7 linked regions of the Macaca mulatta genome follow. The protein of the gene in region 7 interacts with the protein of the main gene of each other region in a pairwise test. Links are inferred from orthologs where the notes say so. Each region holds a gene or a part of one and is shown on either strand. Other genes may lie near its edges.

What was found.
Region 1: the proteins of GMCL1 (region 7) and HYKK interact in a two-hybrid assay, tested with the Homo sapiens proteins (2 studies listed by BioGRID). The two-hybrid records come from large-scale screens. The link is inferred for Macaca mulatta from reciprocal best matches to the Homo sapiens genes GMCL1 and HYKK.
Region 2: the proteins of GMCL1 (region 7) and CFAP410 interact in binary tests that used the Homo sapiens proteins (3 or more experiments, as listed by UniProt). The two-hybrid records come from large-scale screens. The link is inferred for Macaca mulatta from reciprocal best matches to the Homo sapiens genes GMCL1 and CFAP410.
Region 3: the proteins of GMCL1 (region 7) and CHIC2 interact in binary tests that used the Homo sapiens proteins (3 or more experiments, as listed by UniProt). The two-hybrid records come from large-scale screens. The link is inferred for Macaca mulatta from reciprocal best matches to the Homo sapiens genes GMCL1 and CHIC2.
Region 4: the proteins of GMCL1 (region 7) and MORF4L1 interact in binary tests that used the Homo sapiens proteins (3 or more experiments, as listed by UniProt). The two-hybrid records come from large-scale screens. The link is inferred for Macaca mulatta from reciprocal best matches to the Homo sapiens genes GMCL1 and MORF4L1.
Region 5: the proteins of GMCL1 (region 7) and ELOA interact in binary tests that used the Homo sapiens proteins (3 or more experiments, as listed by UniProt). The two-hybrid records come from large-scale screens. The link is inferred for Macaca mulatta from reciprocal best matches to the Homo sapiens genes GMCL1 and ELOA.
Region 6: the proteins of GMCL1 (region 7) and CIB3 interact in binary tests that used the Homo sapiens proteins (3 or more experiments, as listed by UniProt). The two-hybrid records come from large-scale screens. The link is inferred for Macaca mulatta from reciprocal best matches to the Homo sapiens genes GMCL1 and CIB3.

The regions. Positions count from the first base shown.
Region 1 is NC_133412.1:56,662,004-56,665,503, reverse strand, and holds part of HYKK (hydroxylysine kinase), read right to left. Parts: intron 2,108-3,500; coding exon 1,968-2,107; intron 1-1,967.
Region 2 is NC_133408.1:3,194,787-3,198,797, forward strand, and holds the start of CFAP410 (cilia- and flagella-associated protein 410), read left to right. Parts: upstream 1-1,211; coding exon 1,212-1,511; intron 1,512-3,006; coding exon of another isoform or gene 3,007-3,025; intron 3,026-4,011. UniProt on the Homo sapiens protein: Plays a role in cilia formation and/or maintenance. Plays a role in the regulation of cell morphology and cytoskeletal organization. Involved in DNA damage repair.
Region 3 is NC_133410.1:79,479,718-79,483,217, reverse strand, and holds part of CHIC2 (cysteine-rich hydrophobic domain-containing protein 2), read right to left. Parts: intron 1,169-3,500; coding exon 1,112-1,168; intron 946-1,111; coding exon 886-945; intron 1-885.
Region 4 is NC_133412.1:57,080,616-57,084,897, reverse strand, and holds the start of MORF4L1 (mortality factor 4-like protein 1), read right to left. Parts: upstream 2,801-4,282; 5' UTR 2,721-2,800; coding exon 2,681-2,720; exon of another isoform or gene 2,611-2,680; intron 2,529-2,610; exon of another isoform or gene 2,336-2,528; coding exon of another isoform or gene 2,044-2,335; intron 1-2,043. UniProt on the Homo sapiens protein: Component of the NuA4 histone acetyltransferase (HAT) complex which is involved in transcriptional activation of select genes principally by acetylation of nucleosomal histones H4 and H2A.
Region 5 is NC_133406.1:217,242,399-217,245,898, forward strand, and holds part of ELOA (elongin-A), read right to left. Parts: intron 3,323-3,500; exon of another isoform or gene 3,191-3,322; intron 2,368-3,190; coding exon 2,187-2,367; intron 1,938-2,186; coding exon 1,826-1,937; intron 1,258-1,825; coding exon 1,085-1,257; exon of another isoform or gene 1,001-1,084; intron 1-1,000. UniProt on the Homo sapiens protein: SIII, also known as elongin, is a general transcription elongation factor that increases the RNA polymerase II transcription elongation past template-encoded arresting sites.
Region 6 is NC_133424.1:16,646,021-16,649,520, reverse strand, and holds part of CIB3 (calcium and integrin-binding family member 3), read left to right. Parts: intron 1-490; coding exon 491-602; intron 603-1,951; coding exon 1,952-2,099; intron 2,100-3,500. UniProt on the Homo sapiens protein: Acts a an auxiliary subunit of the sensory mechanoelectrical transduction (MET) channel in hair cells. Plays a role in regulating hair cell MET channel localization and function.
Region 7 is NC_133418.1:54,922,780-54,927,020, forward strand, and holds the start of GMCL1 (germ cell-less protein-like 1), read right to left. Parts: upstream 2,801-4,241; 5' UTR 2,573-2,800; coding exon 2,313-2,572; intron 1-2,312. UniProt on the Homo sapiens protein: Possible function in spermatogenesis. Enhances the degradation of MDM2 and increases the amount of p53 probably by modulating the nucleocytoplasmic transport.

The sequences.
Region 1 (3,500 bases), on a different chromosome or scaffold from region 7:
AAAAAATGGAAGCAAGAAGTGGAGCAATGTCTTTCTTTCTTTTTTTTTTTTTTGAGACAAGGTCTTGCTCTGTCACCCAGGCTGGAGTGCAGTGGTGTGGTAACAACTCACTGCAGCCTCAACCTCTTGGGCTCAGGTGATCCTCCCACCTCAGCCTCCCAAGTAGCTGGGACTACAAGCATGCACCACCACACCAGGATAATTTTTTGTATTTTTAGTAGACACAAGGTTTCACCATGTTGCCTAGGCTGCTCCCAAACTCCTAGCCTCAAGTGATCCTCCTGCTTTGGCCTCCCAAAGTGAAGGGATTACAGGCGTGAGTCACCGCACCTGGCCTAAACCTCTTTTCTGTATAAATTACCCAGTCTCAGGTATTTCTTTATAGCAGCACAAGAATGGCCTAATACTAAGACCAACCCCCTGGCGAGACGTGGGTAGCTCATGCCTGTCGTCCCAGCACTGGGAGGCAGAGGCGGGAAGATTGCTTGAGCTCAGGAGTTTGAGACCAGTCTGGACAACATGGCTAAACCCCATCTCTACAAAAAATACAAAAATAAATTAGATGGGTGTGGTGGCACACTCCTGTAGTCCCAGCTACCTGGGAGGCTGAGATGGGAGGACTGCTTGAGCCTGGGAAGTTGAGGCTGCATTAAGCTGTGACTGTACCATTGCACTCCAGCCTGGGAGACAGAGTGAGACCCTGTCTCAAAAAAAAAAAAAAGACCAACCCCATCTCTTCCTCCTTCTCCTCAGCCCACTCAAAGTGAGGATGACAGTGAAGACCTTTATGATGACCCATTTCTACTTAATAAATAGTAAATATATTTCCTTTGTCTTGTGATTTTTTTTAATATAAAAGGTACTCAGTCAATATTGAATAAATGAAGATGTTTTATGGGTGAGTCTAAAAGGCACCTGTCATACATTATATCGTTTCTATAGGGCAAAAACATCCTTAACATACACTATTAATCCATTTGCAACCTAGCTATTGCTTCATACGGAACTCCAGCTGATTATACTGTAACTGGATGAAATCTTCACGTTTCCATTTGTGAATATTGATTGTTTTCAGTGAGCAGCATGAAGAATATCATGAATTTCTAAAAATTTAGGTAATCTTTCCAATACACCAGTAAGATTTATTTATTTTTTAATTTAAAAAAATTGGCCGGGCGCGGTGGCTCAAGCCTGTAATCCCAGCACTTTGGGAGGCCAAGACGGGCGGATCACGAGGTCAGGAGATCGAGACCATCCTGGCTAACACGGTGAAACCCCGTCTCTACTAAAAAATACAGAACAACTAGCTGGGCGAGGTGGCGGGCGCCTGTGGTCCCAGCTACTCCGGAGGCTGAGGCAGGAGAATGGTGTAAACCCGGGAGGCGGAGCTTGCAGTGAGCTGAGATCCGGCCACTGCACTCCAGCCTGGGCGACAGAGTGAGACTCCGTCTCAAAAAAAAAAAAAAAAAAAAAAATTAAAAAAAATTAAAAAAAATTTTTTAGAGACAGCGTTGCTCTGTCGCCCAGGCTGGAGTAGTGGTGTGATCTCGGCTCACTGCAACCTCCACCTCCTGGCTCAAGCAATTCTCCTGCCTCAGTCTCCCAAGTAGCTAAGACTACAAGCACATGCCACCATGCCCTAAATTTTTGTATTTTTTAGAAGAGGCAGGGTTTCGCTATTTTGGCCAGGCTGGTCTCAAACTCCTGGCCTCAAGTTAGATCCCTCTGCCTCAGCCTCCCAAAGTGCTGGGATTACAGGCGTGGACCACCACACCCGGACTACACCAGTAAGAGTTTGGCAGAAGTTAGCCTTACTGTCATAAAATGTATGCACTCTAGGACTCCATTCCCTTCATAACATACCTTAGGTGCACCATACATAAAAAGAGAATCTGATTCTTAGTTTATTTTAAAAATAAAATAACAAACAAACGTCCCTTAGAATAAAATAAAGCCCCATATCTTACCTGCAGTGTCTTATCCAATTTGGCAGCTAGCTTTCCAATTTCATACAATAGCTGGGGGCTGATGGGAATCTCAGCTATGGGTCTTCCTGGGAGGTAAGTCAGCAGCCTCACCAAGTAGCTTTTGATTTCAGAGCCACTATCTAAATGGATGGAATAAAATATCCTTTGACTATTTTAAATATATACATTGAGAGACAGATAGATATAGATATTTAGATATAATAGAATTAGAAGCTATTATGCCTTTGCAAGTATTATTGAAAAGAACAGAAATTACAGAACAACAACAAAAATGTGCTAATCTAAAACAGCTCGGCAGGATTCTATGAGGCAGAGTTGAGTGGATGAAGCAAGAAGGTAGAATACACAAACCTTAAGAACACTGGAACTGGCCATTTACATACCAACAAAATTATAGCCCTAACTCTGCTGGCCTTAGCTCTACACAGAAATTACCTACTGTGGTAAATGAAAGCAACAACACATACCCTTTCATAAGTTCACAGTTGAAGGGAGTGAGGTACCAATAAATGACTTCCAGAATCAGGCTTCCCGCAGGACACCCTCTGTTTGCAACACAGGACAATAACTATGTCTCAGGGAACAATGGGCCTCAGGTATTTGTAGCAATGCAAATTAAGAAAGAATGGTGAACAATTAAGAGAGAAAAAGACAATCAAGATTTCGAACCTTTAAAAAAACTTGAAGAAATTGGTTTTAGCCTGCTGCTTAAAGAGCTGAATTAGGTCCATTGTTGGCATTTTAGTATTTTGAGGTGAAAAGGACTATCTCACAGATGAGGACTGGTGGTCTTAGGGATTTAAGTGGTCTATGTGTCCAAGGTTACATATACAGTAATGACAAAGCTAAAATCTAAAATTCCTGATTCCCAATATTCTTTCTACTATACTGCAGCACCAGAATTTATAGCTTCTCTAAGTAATAAAAATATTTTATTATTTTTCTGGTTAAAAAAAAAAAAAAAAAAAACCGGCCGGGCATGGTGACTCATGCCTGTAATCCCAGCACTTTGGGAAGCCAATGCAGGCAGATCACTTGAGGCCAGGAGTTCAAGACCAGCCTGGGCAACATGGCAAAACCCTGCCTCTACAAAAACACTACAGAATTAGCTGGGCGTGGTGACGCGTGCCTGTAGTCCCAGCTACTCAGCAGGCTAAAGCGGGAGGATCACCTGAGCCCAGGAGGTCAAGGCTGCAGTGAGCTGTGACTGCGCCACTGCACTCCAGTCTGGATGATAGAGTGAGACCATCTCAAAAAACAACAAACAAATAAAAATAAAAACCCAAAACCACCAACAACAAAACAAACAAACAAACAAAACAAAAAATGTTCCCCTGATTTTCACAAGTTCCCTTAGTTACTATCTGTCAGGGCCTTTCTAAACAGAAAACTTATACCACATTGGGCTCTAACCACTACTCAATCAGAGGACCAATCACCACTTTGATGATGCTGTGGCTTCTCCCAACACTGAAAAAATAACCACCTCTAAGGGCGTACTATTGAGGTTGC
Region 2 (4,011 bases), on a different chromosome or scaffold from region 7:
GGATCAGCGTTTTTAAGGATAATTTGGCGGGTAGGGCTCAGAAAGTGGTGAGTACTGATTGGTCAGGTTGAAGATTAAATCATAAGGGTTCGAAATGAGTTCTGGCTGACTTCTGTTCCTGGGTGGGATCGCACAAATGGTTGAGCCAGATTATCTGTCTAAGTGATGTCCGAATGCAGGGTCTACAAAACATTTCAAGCACTGATCTTAAGTTTTGCAACAGTGATGTTATTCCCAGGAGCAATTTGGGGAGGTTCAGACTATTGCCGCCAGAGGTTGCCAGCCCCTAAACTGTAATTTTTCATCTCATAGCTTAATTTGTTAGTCCTACAAAGGCAGACTGGTCCCCAGGCAAGAAGGGTTTTTTTGGGAAAGGGCTATTATCAATTTTGTTTCAGAGTTTAATCTATAAACTAAATTCCTTCCCAAGGCTAGTCTGGTCTACACCCACGAATGAACAAAGGCAGTTTAGAGGATAGCAGGAAGATGGGGTGCGTTAGGAGATCTTTCCCTGTCATAATTTCTTCAGTTACGATTTTTGCAAAGGCGGTTCCCGTGGTCTCATTACCTTTACAAAGGCTGTTTAGTTTTGAGGAAGGGCTGCTATCATTTAAACTATAAATGTCTCCCAAAATTAGCTTTGCTTATCCAGGAATAATTAAGGGCAGCTTCAAGGACAAAGGCAAGATGGGGATTGGCCAGATCTCCTTCAGGGCCATCATTCTCTCACTGATACAATTTTTGGCAAAGGCGGTTTCAGAATGCCCGTCTTAATGTAACTGTGGCCCATGTAACGATGTTTAGGGGGTCTTACCTGATTTCTAAAAGGCTGAAATGCTTGTAAGGGCTCTGCTGGACCTGTCCGTACGTCTTTCCTATAAATGCGTCTTTTCTGTAAAAGCTGGGAGGGAGCGAGACAGGGAATCAACACAGCCCCAGGGCTGCCCTGGGTTTATTCCAAGAGTTTGAATCGCGTAACTTGGAGCTGTGTAGCGCCCATCCCATCCACGCTAGGCCCGCGCTCAGAGACAGGCCTACGCACTCGGCCATGGTACGCGTGGGACCGAGCCCACCCCGCTCGGTTCCAGGGAGCGGCAGCTCAGCCCTCACGGGGCCGCCTCCGGGACCGCCACCTGCACCCACCCACGGCTCGCCGCGCGCTTCCGGGGTCGCGTTAGAATCGCGTCAGAGCCGGGCGCCCCAGGCCGCCCATGCGCAGGAGCAGAGCCGACGTGTCAGCGGCGCCCAAGCGGCCCCAGGGCGCTCTCCTCGCCCCGCTCTCCTCGCCAAGCCGCCAATGGGCTCAGGATCCGCCCCTGACGACGTGGGCCCCGCCCCTGGAGACACGCGCCGCGCAGTCGTCACCCGCCCGGGAGCAGGAGGCCGGGGGCGCCCGCCGGCCGGGCCTGGGCGGTCGCCATGAAGCTGACGCGGAAGATGGTCCTGACCCGGGCCAAGGCCTCGGAGCTGCACAGCGTGCGCAAGCTCAACTGCTGGTGAGGCGGGGCCTGGCCGCGGCCGCCCCGGGGTCGGGGGAGGAGCGGGGGCGGGGCCAGGGCGGGGACTGGGGTGAGGGCGGAGCCGGGGAGGGGGCGGGGGCGGGGGTGGAACGGGGGCAGGTGCGGAAGTGGAACGGGGTCAGGTGCAGGGGCGAGGGCGTCAAAGGAGTCAGGGGTCAGGGAGGAGAGGAGACCAGGGGTCGGGGTCGCCGGGGCCCCCCCATTTCCCGGCCCGCCTTTGCCCCGGCTGCCCTGTGGGCCAGATCTGATGTCTGGGGTTGCCAGCAGTCACTGGGACCAAGTCGAATAGGAGAGAGAACTGAGTTCTCGAGGACTGAGTCAGGAAACACGTTGGTAATCAGTACTGGGGGCGGCCGTGCCAAGGGTATGCCTGGCAGGTGATAGGAAGGGACGTGGGTGCGGTGGGACCCATGAAGGCGCAAAAGCGGGTAATACTGAGGCTCACCAGGCCAAGGAGGACCAGGAGCTTCCAGAGGAGGCAGCCTGGAGTTGAGGCCCGCACGATCTCCAGGGCTCCCTGGGGACTCAGCGGAGTCGCTGCGCCCTGTCAACTGGCCGCACCCTGCAGGCGGGGCGTGGGGGTCAGGGAGAGCAGGCGCTTCCTCCCAGGGGTATCCCCATACTGCCCAGAGCGAGCTCTTCTCTGTTAATTAAAAAGCTTTTCTGGGCCGGGCGCGGTGGCTCAAGCCTGTAATCCCAGCACTTTGGGAGGCCGAGGCGGGCGGATCACGAGGTCAGGAGATCGAGACCATCCTGGCGAACACGGTGAAACCCCGTCTCTACTAAAAAATACAAAAAAAAAACTAGCCGAGCGAGGTGGCGGGCGCCTGTAGTCCCAGCTACTCGGGAGGCCGAGGCAGGAGAATGGCGTAAACCCGGGAGGCAGAGCTTGCAGTGAGCTGAGATCCGGCCACTGCACTCCAGCCTGGGCGACAGAGCAAGACTCCGTCTCAAAAAAAAAAAAAAAAAAGCTTTTCTGTCTGCCCTGGCACATTTGGTGTTTTGGCTACAATTCCCCTGTGTCATTTGCTTTCAATAATGCATTTCTTTGTTTTGCACGGGGTGGTCAGTACTCTCACTAAGCTGGAAGAAACAACAACCCGATTTCAGGCTTTTAAAGTTTGCTTCATAAGTCGCCTGTTCACCCTTTGAACTTGGCCTCTTATAAAGACGCCCTTGTTGATGTCTGTCAGTGAGAGATATTAACCTTCTGCTATTCAGGGACCATGAGGAACAGTTCATCTTTTCGTGTCTTACAAATGGCTCTGCTGCTCCTTATCTAAAAGGTACCACCCCAACGTCATACAGTGTAGTTGAAAATCAAGTAAAACAATTGTTTACACCTTTGCCGGTTATATTTTTTGCCACGCCATTAAAATGCTAGAATCTTAAGGTTTGTAGGGAGTCATTGGTAATTTTTGGAATTTTTGTCTTCAGTGTTTTTTATTCAACTTTAACAAAATTAAAGTATCTTTTCTCTCCCCAGGGGCAGCCGCCTCACAGATGTAAGTATTGCTCTGATCATCTCCAAATGGCCTCAGTCCCAAATGTTGTAGCTTCTTCCCCAAGAGAATTTTTAAGTTGACAAAACTGCCCCTATCAGTTCAGTCCCACACTTGGTACTTTGTTCACTTGGCGGGTTTCGTTATGTAGAACCACTAATGGAAAAACAATTCTCCAGTACCAGGCTGATTTTGCTGTTCCCGTCAACATAAATGAAACGCTGTTTGTCACTTGGTCACAGAGGAGGGGAGCAATAGTTTGGAACTTGCTATCACCTGGAAAGGAATCCCAGGACGGTTTGTTTTACTTTGTTAAGGGGAAGTTGAAGGTCTGCACCCCCTCTTCTTGGTCACATCTAGCCTTGTGCCCCCCACCGCTACCCCAAAGGCGGCAGAGAACAAGCCCTGCTGGGAGAACTTGAGCGTGTGCGTCTGTGAAAAGATTTCTTTCTTCTCTTCCCTCATTCTCTTTCTCAGTCCAAAATGTCCCCAACTTCCAACTTACACAAGGATTGCATACCAATTGTTTCTTTCTTTCTTTCCTGTTTTTTTTTTTTTTTTTTGGCCCAGGCTGGAGTGCAGTGGCGCGATCTTCGCTCACTGCAACCTCCACCTCCCGGGTTCAAGCGATTCTTCTGCCTCAGCCTTTGAGTAGCTGGGACAACAGGCGCCCACCACCATGCCTGGCTAATATTTGTACTTTTTGGTAGAGATGGGGTTTCACTGTGTCGGACAGGCTGGTCTTGAAGCCCCTGAGTTCAGGTGATCCACCTGCCTCAGCCTCCCAAAGTGTTGGAATTACAGGCGTGAACCACCATGTCCAGCCCAATTATTATTTATCTCTTTATTCTCTGTTTTTTAAATTTGAACTGTACCTTTCCTTAAAGACAAAAAAAAAAAGCCTGGACACATGGCACCGGATGTAATCTGTTTTGTGCTGTAACTGAAATACTGCATGTTTAGCAGTGACTATATAAACACACCATGGT
Region 3 (3,500 bases), on a different chromosome or scaffold from region 7:
CACATACACACACACACATCTATGATGGCTATATTGTTTTAAAGAATAGGCAAAATTCCTCAGAAATGTTATAACAGATACTTCACAAAGGCTCTGAGTTTTACTTTCAACAATTAATTTTTCCTTAGATCTTTTTCTTCTAAAGTAACAACCTGGCCATATTTAAAGTACAGTACTCAAGCTCAAAAGAAAATTAAAATTCTTAATTTTCTAGAATATTCTGAAATTTTCAAAAGGAGAAAAACTGCTCAAGTAAATCATGGAGTCAGTAAATTAAATCCCATGCTGAGTAAGTACAAAATTCATTGTATATATATGCCAAATTAGATATTTTTTAACAAGTAAACACAAGATGATCAACATCTCATTTCCTGCTTACTTTTAATTTTTACAAAGCGATATTCTAATAACACTTTAAAACAGATTCTTTAAAGGGCACTGAGGTACGGACAGTTAAAATCTATAAAGGCTAAAGGTTTCTTAAGCTCCAATGGCTTGGCTGAAAGGTTTTCTTCCATACTTGGAAACTTGATTAGCATTATATAAAAAAGCCATATCTGACTTGCTGCGTAACCAAAGTTGTGGTTATTCTTTATACAGCATCTAAAATTTCACACTCCATCAACACATGTTCAGCCTATTTTATCTTGGCAATTAATTTATTATTTTTCAGAACACAGTGAAGCCTTGTTTTCAAGTCATTCATAACTTTATAAATCAGTCTTGCACATGAAACCATGCATCTGTGAACCGTAGAAAATCCTTGCACTCAGGAGATTAAGCTCCTGACACCTTTGCTGATTAATAATCATGGAAAGAATAAGATCAGAAGCAAAATAAATGATCATTTAATAGAGAAACTCACAAAACAGCCCTTTAACTTACATATTCCATCATGTTATTCGTTTCACATTTCCTTTTGCTCAGTCTCCAATGCAAGCACAGCTAGACAAGTAGGAGAGTAAAAGAAGAAAAATGAGCTCTATTTTATTGCAGCACACAGACTAACCCATTTGTCCACCTTTCATATTTTTAGTTCAACAAAAGCATCTGTTTCCATACTGTGCAATTCAGACCCCAACAGTACGAAGCTGCTCCCTGTGGTACTCACCTTGTGGTATAACCTATTGTTTTCCCATTCTAATAACTTCTCAATCGATCTTCGTGTCTGGAAGACAAATGAGAAAAAAGTTTACTCTTGACTGGTTTTAGAAAACTTTGTTTTGCAGCTGCTTTTTCTGTGAAAAGGGAAGAGGTGTAAGACAGTGACTGAGTATAGTGTGGTGTGCATCACTATCCATTTTCTAAGCACTAAATGGTAACCTGAACACAAAGAGTTCTCTTTCTTTAAAAAGATATGGCTTTATTTCTATCATATGAATCTTTTTTTACTAGCCTCTGATTTAAAACTATCAAGGTTTAAAAGCTAATGTCATCTGCCAAATAAAATTAAATCCCCACTTTTTTCAAAAATATGTTTCCAATACTTAAATAGTAACAGAAGCTCCTTAATACATATTTTACAACAAAAGTAAATATTAGTTAACAAAATGCAAATGGCCTTTCAGTAAGTTCCAAAACAAAAAATTGGAAGTTAATATTAAATCAATGAATTATAAAATCAAACTAATTTTCACACCATGCTTAAAATAATGCCCATATTTAAAAGACAGCTTACTGATTATTCTACCAATAGATTTTTTTGAAGAGTCAAAATTTTATTTAAACCAACATAAAAGTGCCATCTGATAGTAAAATCAAACTCTTAATTCAATATTACTGTTTCAGGAATCAACTGAGAATTTACTTCAGTTGACTGATGCAAGCAAGATACGCTATGCTGCAAGAAATGTTTCCTGCTTGGGAGTATGGATAAAAGAAGATAATTCATGGTGCCAGGTGTTAGGATGAGACTGACACAGCTGCAGGTGCAAAAATGACAGTGTTGCCACCAGGATCAACTGCAACTTGGTTCAGCTGCACTTTTCTTGCAAAGGAAAGAAAAAAACATCTTACCACTATTAATGTGGTATAAGGAAGTACTAGTAATCAAATATGAAAATGTGCATGTCAAGCAAGGATTAGCTAGGTGCAAAACTGTTAGGATCAAGCTGGGTTTGAACAGTTTAATGTTACATAATAAAATTTTAACATGTATTTAAAATATCTACTTTAAATAGTTACTTTACCTTTTAGCATATTAAACATGCTAAAGACACACCAAAGTCACATAGGTGCCAATTATAATTCATAACTACCAATGAATTACGACTACTGCCTTACGTTTTCCAAGCTTATGTCACAAAACTCAGAAAATCAGCTACTTCTCTGGGTAATCATATGCCAATGACTAATTTATTATTACATTACTTTTTTTTGAAGAGTCTTTTTGGCAAGAATTTTAAAGAAAAAAATGTGCCCTTGTTAACAATGATCAGCAGACCTCACTTGTTTCTTTGTAAAGATAGCCTTTTAGAGGCAGCTCTCCTTTTAAATGAAAATAGGGCAGCAGTTATGGTCACACTTTTTGTTAATTTAGTTGCCAGTCAGCCCCAAATCAAAAGAAAATAAGGCTGCAGAGTGTAATTAACATTCAGTTCGGTCGTTTTGTCCCTTGTCTAGCCCCCAAGCTTTGTTAAAATTGCCATCTGAATGCTGAAGGCTGTAGGGAAATCGATTTGATTCTAATCGCACCATGAAAAGAACATGATCTAACTGCTTTCAGCCCTCCGTAAATCTGTACTAGGTCTTTAGCACAATGCAACTTCCAATTTAAAAAGCACTGAATGTCTCGTCAATGACTTTGTGAAGAAAAAAGAACAAGGAGCAGACATAAAAATTCCAATAGTTGTTTAAGCATTAAAGTTCATTTGCATCACAGCGAACCTGAAAAGGGCTGACCTCTCAAACCGCCTCTCAGGTCTATGAAGTTGTAGCCTTGACAAGCTCACATTGACAGAGCTCATTGACTCTGAAAGGCTACTCTATCAATGGTGAAAAATGGCAATAGGTTCTACTCTGAGCAGGCATCTGCCTGCCCACCCGCTGCTAAACCAATGGCAAAACCGATTCAAAACCTGAATCTACCTTGTAATCTTTCTTTCTAGGGCCTTTTAATAATAGATTAAGATTACTATACAATTTGAGGTTTTACTTTTACTGATGATTTTGGGGGTTGGTGGATGATGAAAGAACTAGAGTGGAACAAGCTTTCCAAGTCCATTGTCTTATATTAATGTATAAAATAGTACCCAGAAGCTTAACACTACATTCTGCAAATACTTATTACTTAAAGAAAAAAATGTAGTTACCACCATCATTTCATCAGAAATTTAAACCCATGCTATAATAAGGATAGATTTCATTATGATATATAGACACATTCATACACACAATTTTAAAACTTAAAAATATTTACTTTAACTTAAATCAACTACTAGTATTTGAATAAAAGATAATTATAAAGTATAAATCTTAAATTCCAAAATATTTATGTAGGA
Region 4 (4,282 bases), on a different chromosome or scaffold from region 7:
GAGGCAGGAGAATGGCATAAACCCGGGAGGCGGAGCTTGCAGTGAGCTGAGATCCGGCCACTGCACTCCAGCCTGGGCGACAGAGCGAGACTCCGTCTCAAAAAAAAAAAAAAAAAGGCACAAGGAATTCTCTGCTGCTATTCCCCTCTTAACTAGCAACCCTCTAGAACTAAAGCGCTTCCTTAAACAGCCAACCTTAGGCTGTTCCTACAGAAGCGATTAACTTTTTGTGCCTTGACAGTCTGATACAGCCTACGAGCCGAATGATTTCATAAATACATAAAACACACAGTAGTACAAAGGCAACCGACTGTATCGAAACACCAAAACATTTTAAATGTCACGTTCTATGACATTACAGGACAAAGACTTGGCTAGTCATCCAGCAACTACCCTAATTTTGAAGAAACGAGAATGATTGATAACTGAAAACATCTTCCACAACTGTAATGCTGAGATCTGAAAATACTAATGCGGCGTTTTTTTTCGGGGTTTGGGGGGAGGAATTACACTGTTAACTGAAAACTAAACTTGGGTACACAGAAAAAACACATCTTCCTCATTCAATTTCACGGACCCTCTGAATGCACTAAGAATATCTGCTCTAAAACGTCTAGTAAAATAATGAATCCATAGGAGGTAGAGTCACAGATTCTCAAGGTGGGAGAAGGGTATTAAAAGTCACACGGCTGAGCGCGATAGCTCACGCCCGTAATCCTCCCACTTTGGGAGGCCAAGGCGGGTGGATCGCTTGAGCCCAAGACTTCAAGACCAGCCTGGGCATCATGAAACTCCGTCCCTACCAAAAATACAAAAAAAAAAAAAAAAAAAAAAAAAAACCCACAAAGAAAGAAAAAACCCCTAAAAACAAAACAGAACAAAACTCAGCCGGGCATGACGGCGCGCGTCAGTGATCCGAGCTACTTGGGAGGCTCGCTTTAGCCCGGGGGGCAGAGGTGAGCCGAGTACCATAACTGCCCTCCAGCCTAGGTGACAGAGTGAGACATTGTCTCAAAAATATAAACAGGCCGGGCGCGGTGGCTCAAGCCTGTAATCCCAGCACTTTGGGAGGCCGAGACGGGTGGATCACGAGGTCAGGAGATCGAGACCATCCTGGCTAACATGGTGAAACCCCGTCTCTACTAAAAATACAAAAAACTAGCCGGGCGAGGTGGCGGGCGCCTGTAGTCCCAGCTACTTGGGAGGCTGAGGCAGGAGAATGGCGTAAACCCGGGAGGCGGAGCTTGCAGTGAGCTGAGATCTGGCCACTGCACTCCAGCCAGGGCGACAGAGCGAGACTCCGTCTCAAAAAAAAAAAAAAAAAAAAAAAAAAAAATATATATATATATATATATATAAAAAAACAAAAAAGTCACTCGTTAACAAAATACCCCTAAAACTCCCTTAAATATCCCATAAGATACGCAGTACTACGGTTTAAGATTTATGTCTCTAAAAGGAATTTTAATGCAAGTCTAAAAATCCCTAGAACAAAAATAGTACGCATGGAAACACCGTATTTACGGTAACTAGCATAAATTTCCATAGCAATGAAAACGAATATTAGAGTGTTCCTCCTTTTACAGGATTTTACTTCCTTTTTAGCTATTAGACCTCCACCTTATTATACATAAATTGAAGCGTTGTGAAAATTTAAAGAGCTGCCTTCCACTGGCAGTCTAACCCTAGCCAAACCTCATGCCAATCGAAAACCAATTAATAAAAATAAACTCAACTTTCAAGTCACTGTTAAACACTGCAACTAATCAAACAATTACTGCATTTAAAAAATGACGTCGAGACAATGGGACTTACAAAGGCAAACGGCGTTAACACTGCATTCAGATCATTTTTATTTACTTTTTACGAGCAACTGCAAAGCGAGAGCGCACTAACGTTACCATAGGATCTTGGCACTGCGCCTAAGAGCAGAATGAGGCCTCCAGGCAACACAAAGCGGAGGAAAACGCTCATCCCACTGATCCTTTTTTTTTTTTTCTGTCCCCACCCACCACTCTGAGGTAAGCGAAGGGTCCCGGCAACCTTGCGGTCTTCGTGGAAGGGGGCGCTGCATCTGCCCTGAAGCTGCGCCTGCATACGGGGCAGAGACGCCAGCGGCCATGATGAAGCCGCCATGTTGCAACGGCCATTTTACAACGCAGTTCTCCCGCCCCGTGGCGCCAAACCCACCCCCATCTGCAGCTCCGAGTCTCCACCGAACGCGACCACCCCGGGGCTCCAGGGAGCACCTAACCGCCGGTCGTGGCTGCCCAAGCGGCCGGGCGCGCTGCAGGACAGCCAGAAACCACCGCCGCCCCTCCCCCCGCCGCCACATCACTTCCCCTAACCGCCGCCATGGCGCCTTGGTCGCCTCCCTACAATAGGCTGCTCTCTCCGCGCCCTCTTCCTCAGAACAATAACAAACACTTGACGAGGGTGTGCCACGCGCCAAACGCTCCCTCTCCCACTCTAACGCCTGCGTAGCACTCTCGCTTCACAAAGCGCTCACAATGACGCATCGGAATTGCCATCCGCAATGCGCTTTCCCCGCACAAAGCACTATCCGCCGCCTTCTCAGGGTGCACCCCGAGCCACCCCCGGCCCTCAAACCTCAACCACCTCGAGCCCGCCTCCATCTCCTGCGCCGTTAGGTGCCTTTTTCCCAAAGGCGCACACTCACCCTCCTGGAATTTAGGCTTCGGGTCCTGCTTCGGCGCCATTTATAAGTGATTCGCCGCCTCCTCCTTCTCCCACCACCCCCGACTACCGCCCCCTACTCTCTACCCCACCCAACTCCGCGTCAGACGCGCCGTCAGGCACTGCCAGCTCTACATCCTGGGCCGGATTTGCCAGCGCCCGCAGACCTCACAGCAGCGCGACCCGCGCAGCCGCTGCTCCAGCCAATGACAACCCGCCGCGCCCGCGCCCCTGCGCCCGCGCCGCCCCGGGGCACGCCGGGACTGGTAGTTTCTAGTTGGTGGAGGCGCAGCTGGGTGGGGGAGGGGCCGGCTACCCTACCCCACTCCTCCCCACCCCCCCGCCACTCCCCATCCCCCGGGCTGCTGCGGGTTGGTAAAGCGGGGAATTGATTACGTGGGAGGTTAAAGCAGAGCGGGCAATGGGGGAGAGTCGGGGCGGTGAACCACCAGCGATGAAAAAATGGGAAAAACCCAGTTGCGACGTCCTTTGGGCAAATAAGCCCCCATTGATGTTGAAGTAGCCGGAGAGAATAGGGCTGCCTCGAAAACCTATATTCAATAGCATTCCGCTAGTTTTTGCATAGAAAAGCTTTAGGATCAGCAATGTGGCCACAAGAGGATGGGAAGTGGGGTCCGCTTCTGGAAGCTTCGTTGTTTAGCAAGCCCACTGCCTAGTCTATTTGGTGGGATTGATAGCCATTTGTTGGCTCCCAGGTCTACCTCCTCTTCTCCAGTCCCGGCCTTGCGGAAATGAGGAAGATGACGTGGGAAACACTAGTCAGGCTTTGGCTTTTTGAGATAATGGAGCTCTGCTATCCGCAAAAGGCTAGTGTGAATATGCCAACCTCTGCATTCCGTACCTGCCCTGTTTGTACTTTTTTGTCATCTAATTTTTTGAGCCATGATTGAATGTACACACACTAAACAAACGGATTTCTTCAATATTATATATTTTTCTTTTCTTTTCTTTCTTTTTTTTTTTTTTTTTTTTTTGGAGATGGAGTCTCGCTCTGTCGCCCAGGCTGGAGTGCAGTGGCCTGATCTCGGCTCACTGCAGCCTTCACCTCCCAGGTTCAAGCGATTCTCCTGCCTCAGCCTCCGGAGTAGCTGGGATTACAGGCACGTGCCACCACGCCCAGCTAATTTTTGTATTTTTAGTAGATACCGGGTTTCACCATGTTGTCAGGCTGATCTGGAACTCCTGACGTCGTGATCCGCCCGGCTTGGCCTCGGAAAGTGCTGGGATTACAGGAGCAAGCCACCGTGCCCAGCCTGCCTCCATGGCTTTTCTAAGCCCTCCCCTGCCCGGGTTCCACACCCTACCATTTCCGGGCCCCTCTCCATTTTTCTGACTTCCATTTCTCCTTCAGTCTTTTTAACACAACCCCTTCTTCGACAACAGAAACCCACAAAAATCTTCGTTATTCCAGTTGAATATACACCATCTTGTCACGGCTGCTACTTGCAAGCTTGTCCAACCTGCCTTATTTTCCTGTTGTTTTGTTTTGTTTTGTTTAGGCTTTTAGCACCCTGAAGCCATGGTTTTTAGTTTCAGTCTCTAGTAATAAGTAGAAAAGAGGGAT
Region 5 (3,500 bases), on a different chromosome or scaffold from region 7:
TCAGTCATAACTTTGCCTCACAAATAGCCAAACCAGTAAACATCACGTCTACCCCTAATCTGTCCAGTGTAGAAACAGGTCTAAGGTGGCTCTGCAAGTACTGCCTAAGGAGGGCCAGCCTGCCTCCTGAATGGTTAATCTGAGCATAGCTGCTGCTCAAACCAGGACTCCTACCCTCCCATAGGCCCTGCAATTAATACAGAATAAGACTTAAGTTAGGACATCCCCTTAGGATACTGGGGATAGTCTATGGTAATAAAGTTAACAAAATACAAAATAGACGCAACTGGATATAAAGAATAAATATTTGGAAAACCCAGCTGGGCACGGTGGCCTGTAATCCCAGCACTTTGGGAGGCTAAGGCAGGCGGATCACGAGGTCAAGAAATTGAGACCATCCTGGCTAACACGGGGAAACCCTGTCTCCACTAAAAAGTAGAAAAAATTAGGCAGGCATGGTGGTGGACACCTGTAGTCCCAGCTACTCAGGAGGCTGAGGCAGGAGAATGGTGTGAACCCAGAAGGCGGAGCTTGCAGTGAGCTGAGATCGTGCTACTGCACTCTAGCCTGGGTGACAGAGCAAGACTCCGTCTCAAAAAAAAAAAAAAAAAAGAGAGACAGCGTCTGTCATCCAGGCTAGAGTGCAGTGGTACAATCTAGGCTGACTGAAGCCTCGACCTCCTAGGCTCAAGTGATACTCCCACCTCAGTCTCCTGAGTAGTTGGGACTACAGACATGTACCACTATGCCCAATTTTAAAATTTTTTGTAGAGAGAGGGTCTCGTTATGTTGCTCAGGCTGGTCTTGAACTCCTGGGTTCAAGGGATCCTCCTGCCTCAGCCTGCCAGAGTGCTGGGATTACAGGCATGAGCCACCGCACCTGGACTCACTATAATTATTTAAAAGATATAGTGCACTATGGACAAAGCAGAGGGAAGGAGGGACTGACATTCAGACCAGCTATGTGCAAGGCATCATGCACATGCAACATGCAGTCCACAAAATGTAATACAGTGAATAATGACATTGAGAGTTAAAAACTAGTTCTGAAATAATATTTGAGCAGGAACTCCAAGTTACTTACTCTTCACAGTGGGTTTCCTAGGATCATAGGAAACAGTGCTGCTGACCACTGGTGCCAAGTGGGCACTGCTGGTGCTTGGGCCATCATAGGCCGGCTCCTCAGGGCTGGGGTTAAAGCTGTTGCTACTGGCGGAAGCATGGCTGCTTCCCGTGGGGTACGGGGCTGGCTTAATCCTGCAACACAGGACAACACTGGTTAGTCATGAGCACAAGAAATCTGCCCTGAGCATGAAGAGCCTGAAGCTGGCCTGTGTGAGGATGACTTACCCTGTTTGTGGCTTTGACCAGTGGACCCTAGCACCCTGGATTCTGGTGGTGGCTCAGAGGTGTCTGCATTATCCTTTCAGAATAAATGATAATCTCAACTAACTTTTCACTGTTTTGGTATAAATCTGTATTTTGAAAATGCTAATGTGGCTTAGACAAAATAACAGTCATTGCAGAAATGTGTTTTTTGTTTAGATGAGAAAAGGGAAAGCATAAGGGAATGTTTCCCATAAGTCAGGCTTTGCTCTCCATTTAATCTTGACTACCCTAGGGCAGGAGAAATTATCACCTTGCACTGCAGTCCAAGAAGCAGAGGCTGAGGGAGGTGAGGGAAGTGCTGAGCTGATGAGGTCTGCCTCCAGAGTCCACCTTCTGCACTGCCTTGCTTTCACCAAAAGCAATTTGCTTCCTGCCGCTATGGCTACCTCTTAAGGGTTGATAGCACACAAAAGCCAGGTAAGAACACAGTTCTTACTTGATTTTCTCAGGGACAGCTGCTCCTCCAGTTCCAAACTTTTCCTGCCTCCTCCGGACGTCACGAGGTGGCTTGGCCACAGAGTTGACAAAGGCCATCTTTGCTTGTCGGCCTGTAGAATTATGGAGATGAACATCTGCCTTCTTGAGCAGAGACGCTACTGTTATTTAAATAATCCACGGGGTTTTCCACTGCCCTGAAACCCCACTATAGGGTAGCATGGGCTGTGGCAGAAGAAATACCCACCCTGCTACCTGATGTAGGGGCGAGCAGTCCCACACCAGCCAAGCCCACCAAGACCCTGCTATTGACCAGAACACTCATCCTGCCAGTTCTACCCCAGCTCTCCCGTCTCTGTTACCTTTGGGCTTATTGGCATGTGCGAATTGGATGTTCTTTGTTAGTACTCGTAGCCGCTGCTCTCGGGCATCCTGAAGCCGCAGGTACATCTCTCGCCACGACTCATATTCTTCGGGTCTTTCTTCCTTAAAGTCTCGGTGACAGTGAACTTTCCATAATTGATCTGTTTCTTCAATTAATACCTGAAACCAGAACCAGGACATCATTTATGTACAAGCACTTTTATGTACAAGCACTATCTTTTTTTTTTTTTTTTGAGACAGAGCCTTGCTCTGTCGCGTAGACTGGAGTGCAGTGGTGCAGTTTCGGCTCACTGCAACCCCTGCCTCCTGGGTTCAAGCGATTCTTGTGCCTCAGCCTCCCAAGTAGCCAGGACTACAGGTGCTTACCACTATGCCCAGCTAATTTTTTATATTTTTAGTAGAGACGGGGTATCGCCATGTCGGCCAGGCTGGCCTTGAACTCCTGACCTCAAGTGATCCACCCACCTTAGCTTCCCAAAGTGCTGGGATTACAAGCGTGTGTCACCACGCCCGGCCCCATATCTTTTTCTGATTCTTTAATTACCTAGGAGTGACCAGTTTCCTAATAATTTTTTGGTCTTTGTCGTAGTAGTATGTTAAAATACCACAATTCTAGGAAAAAATAACTCACTAAATTTTAAAAATGCTAAGTGTGAGGCACTAGGCTAGCTGCTTTTGGTGGCTGTGACAGGATATCACAAAAATTAGTGTAAGATCAGTCTTTTCCTTTAGAAAATCAGCAAAGGGTAGAACTGTGATCAAGTCCAATCAGGTACTTCCCAACACTACGCTGAACTGTGATGGCAGGGGGCAACCTAAGAAAGATGTTAAGTTATTGGCCAGACGCAGTGGCTCATGCCTGTAATCCCAGCACTTCGGGAGGCCAAGATGGGACATCACTTGAGGCCAAGAGTCTAAGAGTCCATCTCTCCGAAAAATAAAAATATTAGCCAGGTGTGGTGGTATGTGCCTGTAGTCCCAGCTACTTGGGAGGATCACTTAAGCCCAGGAGTTCAAGGATGCAGTGAGCCATGATTAGGCTACTGTACTGCAGAGTCTAAGCAACAGAGGTAGACCCTGTCTCAAAAAAAAAAAAAAAAAAAAAAAAAAAAGATGTTAGGTCAGAGAACTCTCAGAATTAAAGAGAGATAGCTGATGCAATCAAATGTGTATACCTATATCCTAAGGAGGATTTCTGGATAGATCTTGATGTCTCTTAAGAGACATCCAGTCAATCACCAGATGTGTCAACACAAAGTGCTTTACCCACCCTGGGTCCCAGCTGCTCTGCT
Region 6 (3,500 bases), on a different chromosome or scaffold from region 7:
CCCAGGGAGGTAGGGGTGCCTGTGTCGGGCTCTGTATGCTTGAGGTCCAGGCCCAGGGCTGAAGGTTCTTGGGGACACAGTATCCCTCGGTGTGCAGTGAGCAGCTGTGAATGTGAAAGAGAAGGGACTTGGCCGGGCGCGGTAGCTCACGCCTGTAACCCCAGCACTTTGGGAGGCCGAGGCAGGTGGATCATCTGAGGTCAGGAGTTTGAGACCAGCCTGACTAACATGGTGAAACATTGTTTCTACTAAAAATACAAAAAAATTAGCTGGGCGTGGCGGGGTGTGCCTGCAATCCCAGCTACTCAGGAGGCTGAGGCAGGAGAATTGCTTGAACCTGGGAGGCAGAGGTTACAGTGAGCTGAGATTGTGCCACTGCACTCCAGCCTGGGCGACAGACCGAGACTCCGTCTCAAAAAACAAAGAAGGGACAAGCCTCTTGCCTGCTCCCTGCTCCCAGCCTTTCCCAGCTTTTTCCTCCCCACATCAGGCTCTTCTATCGCTACCAGGACCTGGCCCCGCAGCTCGTGCCCCTCGACTATACCACCTGCCCCGACGTGAAGGTGCCCTACGAGCTCATTGGCAGCATGCCCGAGCTGAAGGTACACCCAGGCCATGGGACAGACAGGGGAAAAAATAGTAGAGATGTCTCTCGTTGCATTCCTCTGAGGTCGGTGCTGCAGTTATCCCCATTTTACAGATAAGAAAACTGAGCCTCAGGAAGTTAAGACACTTGTTCATGGTCACACAGCTACAATGTCACAGAGACAGGGTTAAAACTCAGAGTTGGCTGGCGTGGTGGCTCAAGCCTGTAATCCCAGCACTTTGGGAAGCCGAGGCGAGTGGATCACCTGAGGTCAGGAGTTCGAGACCAGCCTGGCCAACATGGTGAAACCCTGTCTCTACTAAAAATACAAAAATTAGCTGGACGTGGTAGCACATGCCTGTAATCTCAGCTACTAGAGAGACTGAGGCAGGAGAATTGCTTGAACTCAGGAGGTGGAGGTTGTAGTGAGCAGAGATCTAGCCACAGTACTCCAGCCTGGGCGACAGAGTGAGACTCTGTCTCAAAAAACTCATAATTGGGAGAATGAAATGAGATAATACAGGTAACAAACTCAGTACAGGGTGTGTTTTGTGTTAAGTACTCAGAGAACGTTAGTTCTTCTTGTAATAGGAGCTGCTAAATGCAGATTTTTTTCAGCAGGATGTTTGACACATGGTTTGTGCATCCAAGGGGAACTTGTGGGTTGAGTAACTGACTGTGAGTAGGGCTGATTTTATTGCAAGTGACAAAAACCTTATTTGAGAGGGACAGAATGGATTGGATCAGAATGGATTGCCCCTGAACAACAACAAAAAAATCCAGAGGCAGGGACAGTGTCAGGTATGGCTGGACTGTCATACCTGACAGGTATGACAGGTATGGCTGGAACCAGGGCCTCTGATGATGTGCTCAGGAATCTCCCCCCATCTCTCAGCTCCTTCCAGGAAGAGGTTTCAGTCTAAGGCAGCCTCTCCTCTTGAGGTTGTGAAAGGACCTCTCAGCCACTCAGCTTTAGCTTCTGTGAGCTTTGCAAGCAGCAGTAATGAGGTCCTCTCCCTCCCAATTTTTTAGAAAAATGTCCCAGGGCAGTCTCTGATTGGCTAGCTTGAGTCACATGCCCATCCCAGAGCCAATCACTGTTGCCAGGTGAATGGAACTCTCTGATTGGCCTTGCCTGGGTCACATGGCTGCTCCAAGAGCTGGAAGTGGGGTCAAGGTTGCTCTGACCACAGGGGCAGAGGGTGGAGTTGTCCAAAGTCCTGTCCAGGGACCATGGAAGGGAGTGGGTCTCGATGGAGAATACTTGGAGCCTCCCAGAAAGTGGGTGCTCAGAGTGAGACCACATGGACCCCCAGAGATCCTGGGGGTCGGAGGGTGGCCTCCCAGCTTCCTTTCTCTCCCCAGGACAACCCGTTCCGCCAGAGGATTGCCCAGGTCTTCTCCGAGGATGGGGATGGCCACATGACCCTGGATAACTTTTTGGACATGTTTTCTGTGATGAGTGAAATGGCTCCCCGCGACCTCAAGGCTTACTATGCTTTTAAAATTTATGGTGTGTGCATGGCCCTGGGGTTGGGGAGCATGGGGATGGGATGGGGAGTGGGAACTGGGTGGGTGGCACCCACATCACAAATGTCTCCCCAGAGGTTTTGAGGCCCTGCGTGACCCTGTCCTCTACCCCACTCCAATGCCTCCCCAGCTCATTTATTTGCTAACTCTATTCCAGCCCACACGGGCCTTGTTGTTCGTCTCTGGGCCTTTGCCTCTGCTGAACCCTCTGCCTAGAACACTTTTCACCTGGCTCCTTATTTACTTATTTTTATTTATTTATTTTTTTTTGAGATGGAATTTCGCTCTTTTTGCCCAGGCGAGAGTGCAGTGACTCAATCTTGACTCACTGCAACCTCCGCCTCTGAGGTTTGAGTGATTCTCCTGCCTCAGCCTTCTGAGTAGCTGGGATTACAGGCACATGCCATCACACCCGGCTAATTTTTGTATTTTTAGCAGAGATGGGGTTTCGCCGTGTTGGCCAGGCTGGTCTCGAACTCTTGACCTCGGGTGATCCGCCCGCCGCGGCCTCCTAAAGTGCTGGGATTACAGGCATGAGCCACCGCGTCCAGATCCCCTGGCTCATTCTTATCCTTGAAGTCTAGGTTGAAAGTAGGCCTCTCCCCCATTCATCCCCCTATCCCACCATCCTATTTCTCTTCTAGCACCAGGCAATGCTGCTTAATTTCTTGTTCCTTGACCTGTTCACTTCTTATTGACTTTGAGAAGACTCAAAGGTACTGACAGTATCTATTTTGCTCACCATCTGTCTTCTGAGCCTGGCTCAGTAAATATTTGTTGAATGACTGAATGAAAGAAAAACAGTTATCTTAGTGCCTGGCACCTTGTGTGCACTCAATAAATACTTGGTTTTTTGTTTCGTTTTGTTTTGTTTTTTGCTTTTGTTTTTTTGAGACAAAGTCTTGCTCTGTCCCCCAGACTGGAGTGCAGTGACGCGATCTCAGCTTACTGCAACCTCCGTCTTCTGGGTTCAAGCAATTCTCCTGCTTCAGCCTCCTGAGTAGCTGAGATTGATTACAGGCGCCTGCCACCATGCCTAATTTTTTGTATTTTTAGTAGAGATGGGGTTTCACCATGTTGGCCAGACTGGTCTCGAACTCCTGACCTCAGGTGACCCACCCGCCTCAGCCTCCCAAAGTGCTGGGATTACATCTCTACTAATTTTTTGTATTTTTGTATTTTTTGTATTTTTAGTAGAGATGGGGTTTACCATGTTGGCCAGGCTGGTCTTGAACTCCTGACCTCAAGTGATCCACCCACCCCAGCTTCCCAAAGTGGCAGGCTTACAGGCATGAGCCACCATGCCCTGCCACCATAATACTTTTTTTTTTTTTTTTGAGGCAGAGTCTCACTCAGTCACCCAGGCAGGAGTGCAGTGGCCGGA
Region 7 (4,241 bases):
TGCCTCAGCGTACCAAGTAGCTGGGATTACAGGCGCCCGCCACCACGCCTGGTTAATTTTTATATTTTTAGTAGAGACAGAGTTTCGCCATGTTGGCCAGGCTGGTTTTGAACTCCTGACCTCAGGTGATCTGTCTGCCTCAGTCTCCCAAAGTGCTGGGATTATAGGCATGAGCCACTGCGCCTGGCCAAGAACTCAGAATTTGAACTCTTAAAACTATGCCACAGGTTGGCAACGGTGGCTCACACCTGTAATCCCAACACTTTGGGAGGTCAAGGCAAGAGGATCACTTGAACCCAGGAGTTCAAGGCCAGCCTGGGTGGGCAACAGAGTGAGACCTTGTTTCTACAAATAAAAAAATTAGCTGGGTGTGGTGGTGCATGCCTGTGGTCTCAGCTACACAGAAGGCTGAGGTGGGAGAATTGCCTGAGTCTGTGAGGTCGAGGTGGAGTGAGCCATGATCCCACCACTGCATTCCAGCCTGGGCGACAGAGCGAGACCCTGTCTCAAAAAAGAAAAAAAATTTTCCAAAAAAAAAAAACTATGCTACACTGACTCTTCAAAAAGGTTACAGGGTCAGGCATGGTGGCTCACACCTGTAATCTGAGCACTTTGGGAGGCTGAGGTGGGAGGGTCGCTTCAGCCCAGGTGTTTGAGACCACCCTGGGCAATATAGTGAGACCCCTGTCTCTTTAGAAAAAAACTCCAAAAATCAAATAAACAACAAAAAAAGTTACTGAATAGTATTCACAGTAGGGGTCCATTTTTGTAAATAAATAAAAATATTCATTAAAAAAGGTACAAAAGGTTTTATAAACCAAACTATTGAGTTTTTAATCTATGATTCCTTTTTTACAATATGCAACACTTGTATAGCAAAACCTTTTTGAATCTGCTCATAAAGTTTAATTTTACGCTGGGTGCGCAGTGGCTCACGCCTATAATTCCAGCACTTTGGGAGGATGAGGCCAGCAGATCACCTGAGGTTGGGAGTTTGAGACAAGCTTGGCCAACATGATGAAACCTGTCTCTACTAAAAATAGAAAACATTAGCCAGGCATGGTGGTGCGTGTCTGTAGTCCCAGCTACTCGGGAGGCTGAGGCACAAGAATCGCTTGAACCAGGAAGTGGAGGTTGCAGTGAGTTGAGATCGCACCACTGCACTCCGGCCTGGGTGACAGAGCAAGGCTCTGTCTGAAAAATAAAAAAAGAAAAAGAGGCCGGGCACGGTGGCTCAAGCCTGTAATCCCAGCACTTTAGGAGGCCGAGATGGGCGGATCCCGAGGTCAGGAGATCGAGACCATCCTGGCTAACACGGTGAAACCCCGTCTCTACTAAAAAATACAAAAAACTAGCCAGGCGAGGTGGCGGGTGCCTGTAGTCCCAGCTACTCGGGAGGCTGAGGCAGGAGAATGGCGTAAACCCGGGAGGTGGAGCTTGCAGTGAGCTGAGATCCGGCCACTGCACCCCAGCCTGGGCGACAGAGCAAGACTCCGTCTCAAAAAAAAAAAAAAAAAAAGAAAAAAAGAAAAAGAAATCATTAAAAAAATTTCATCTGTGACCCTACCAAATCACCTTTAAAAACAAAAGCAGAAAAACCAAATTGTTTGTGTAAGAATATATTCTACCCATAAACTACATTCCAATTCCAGGTCACAAGTCAATATTCCATCTTTCAACTCATCAAAAAAAAAAAAAAAAAAAAACAGTTAAGCAAGCTGCAGCAGCACCGCCCTACATACAGTACATCCACGGTCAACGACATCAACTGCTAGAAACTTGCACAAACTCTGTTCCTGGTTAGGAACAAATGTACACTATTGATAAACTTCACCTTTACGATTAACGAGAACTCCTGTGTGCAATTATTTCCCCTCCACTGAGTGGGCGACAGTAAGAGTGCCCATTTCAGAGATTACATTTAGTGTCTGTACTAAAGCAACCGGATGCAAAACAACTTAGTCTGCGGCTACCCACTTGAGAGGGCAAAGGTGGACTGGTAAGGCCAGCCAGCCGGGCGTCTCTAAGGTTTAACGAGACGCGAGCTCGGGCTTGGCGTTTCTCATCCTCATCTTGGGGCTGTAACAACACCCTGGAAGCGTCTGTGGTTAAAAATGCAGAACACCAGGCGTCTCCCAAGGCGCTCCCCCGTCCGCCCGGCATCGGGCCGGCTTCCACATTCACTTGTCAAGGGCACGACCCCTCTTCATAGGCTGGGGAGCGCTGCACCCCGCAAGCGCACCGGGCGCCGGCTCGGCCCCAGGCCCAACAGGTGCGGGTCCGGGTCCGCGCGAGTGCGTGCCCCCACGTACCTTCGAGGGGTGTTGAGGAGCCGCTGCTGCTCGTCCCCCTCCTCCTCATCCTCATCCGTCTCCGAGTCAGGGTGACAGTAGCAGAAGGCCCCGCTGCTCCGCTTGCGCTTGTGGCTGCCCGGACAGTAACAGAAGCCGTGGCCCGCCGCATCGTCTCCAGTGTCCGGCCTCCGGGCCGAGCCCCCCGCCCTGGCACCCTGCGCCTGCTGGGCAAGGGCTCGTCTAGGCTGGCGCAGCACCCGGCTGCTCAACGATCCCATGGGTCACGGCTCCCCGAGACTTCAGGGAGCCCAGAGAAGGGGGTCTCCCGCCATGGCCCGGCCGCCGCCGCCAGCCTTCCCCGAGCGCAGATGCCTACACCGCCACCTTCTCACGCGCAGCCCCAACCGTTGCAGCGGACGCTACAGCCTCCATCCTCCGCCCCGCCCGCAGCTTCTGGTCGCTCCGCGCGCTAGCACCGCAGAACCTCGCCCCCTCGCTTTCGTAACAAAGCGCGCGCCGGCGGGCGCATGCGTGTGGCGAGCCTCCGGAAGGGGCGGGGCAAGGCAGGCGTGCGTGCGTGGCAGGTGGAGCCTGCGCACAACGCGGCGTGCTCGTACGGGCGGGTGTTTTCGGGCTTGCGGTGGGGCTGGCTTCCAACTAACGTGAACTTAGGCGTAGACGCAGTGTTAAGCCGTAGTTCACACACGCCTTTGTAGTGGCAAGACTTGGAACTTCAGTCGCGCATTCTTTCTACAAAGGTGCCTTGAGCCCCCGGTGCTTATGGGCCTGTGCTAAGCAAGTGGCAAAACCCCGAAGCTATTTGGTCTCCTTGCGGGAGCTCGGCGCTTGCTGGGGCCGCGCTCTGCTTTGTTGGGCGTGGCCTCCTGTGAGAGGGGCCCTAGGATGAGGCGCTATGCTGGATTCCTGGGCTTCCTTAACTGGAGCCCTACCCTGCTGTAGACGTGAAAGGAACCCGTTAAGTTATGGGAACGTTCCCGGCACTCCTTTTCTTTCCTATCAAGTGCCAGTGGGATGTCCGAATAGGGTCTGGCACCATGACTGTCCGTACTCAAAAAAGTGCCTTCAGGAGGCCCTAGCAAAATTGACAAGTGTCTGCCTGGAGGAGCTGCTCTTGTGATGGACTCCGGACAGCGAGCGTTCACTCCCTGACTCCCTTCTGTTACTTTTTAAGTAAAATAATAAAAATATTTCTCCTGTGGACCCACCACTAGCTTGAAATTTTATCATACTTGGTTTCATTCTTTTTTTCCTCTCCGCTTTATTGAGGTGTAATCAATGATTCATTCTTTTTAAATAGAACAATACAGATAGGCAGAAGCCCCTGTGTACCTCCTCCATCTCATTCTGTCTCCCTCCCCAGTGGCAATCACTGTGCTGAGAATGTTGTATATTATTATGTCCATGTATGTCCTTATATGCGTACCCATATTTTCTTTTGCATGTTTAGACATATCATGGAACGGAATCATAGCTGTACCTCTCACTGTGCACCTTTCTCCTCTCAAAATTATACTCTCGAGATTTGTCCATTTGGTCAATTGCTAGATAATTTTCACTGCTCATTGAATGACTGAACCATATTTGTTTTTACATTCCTTAGTAAGAGGTTATTTCTTTTTTTTTTTTTTTTTGAGACGGAGTCTCGCTCTGTCGCCCAGGCTGGAGTGCAGTGGCGCGATCTCGGCTCACTGCAAGCTCCGCCTCCCGGGTTCACGCCATTCTCCTGCCTCAGCCTCCCGAGTAGCTGGGACTACAGGCGCCCACAACCGCGCCCGGCTAATTTTTTGTATTTTTAGTAGAGACGGGGTTTCACCGTGGTCTCGATCTCCTGACCTTGTGATCCGCCCGCCTCGGCCTCCCAAAGCGCTGGGATTACAGGCGTGAGCCACCGCGCCCGGCCGTGAGAGGTTATTTCTACTTTAACGG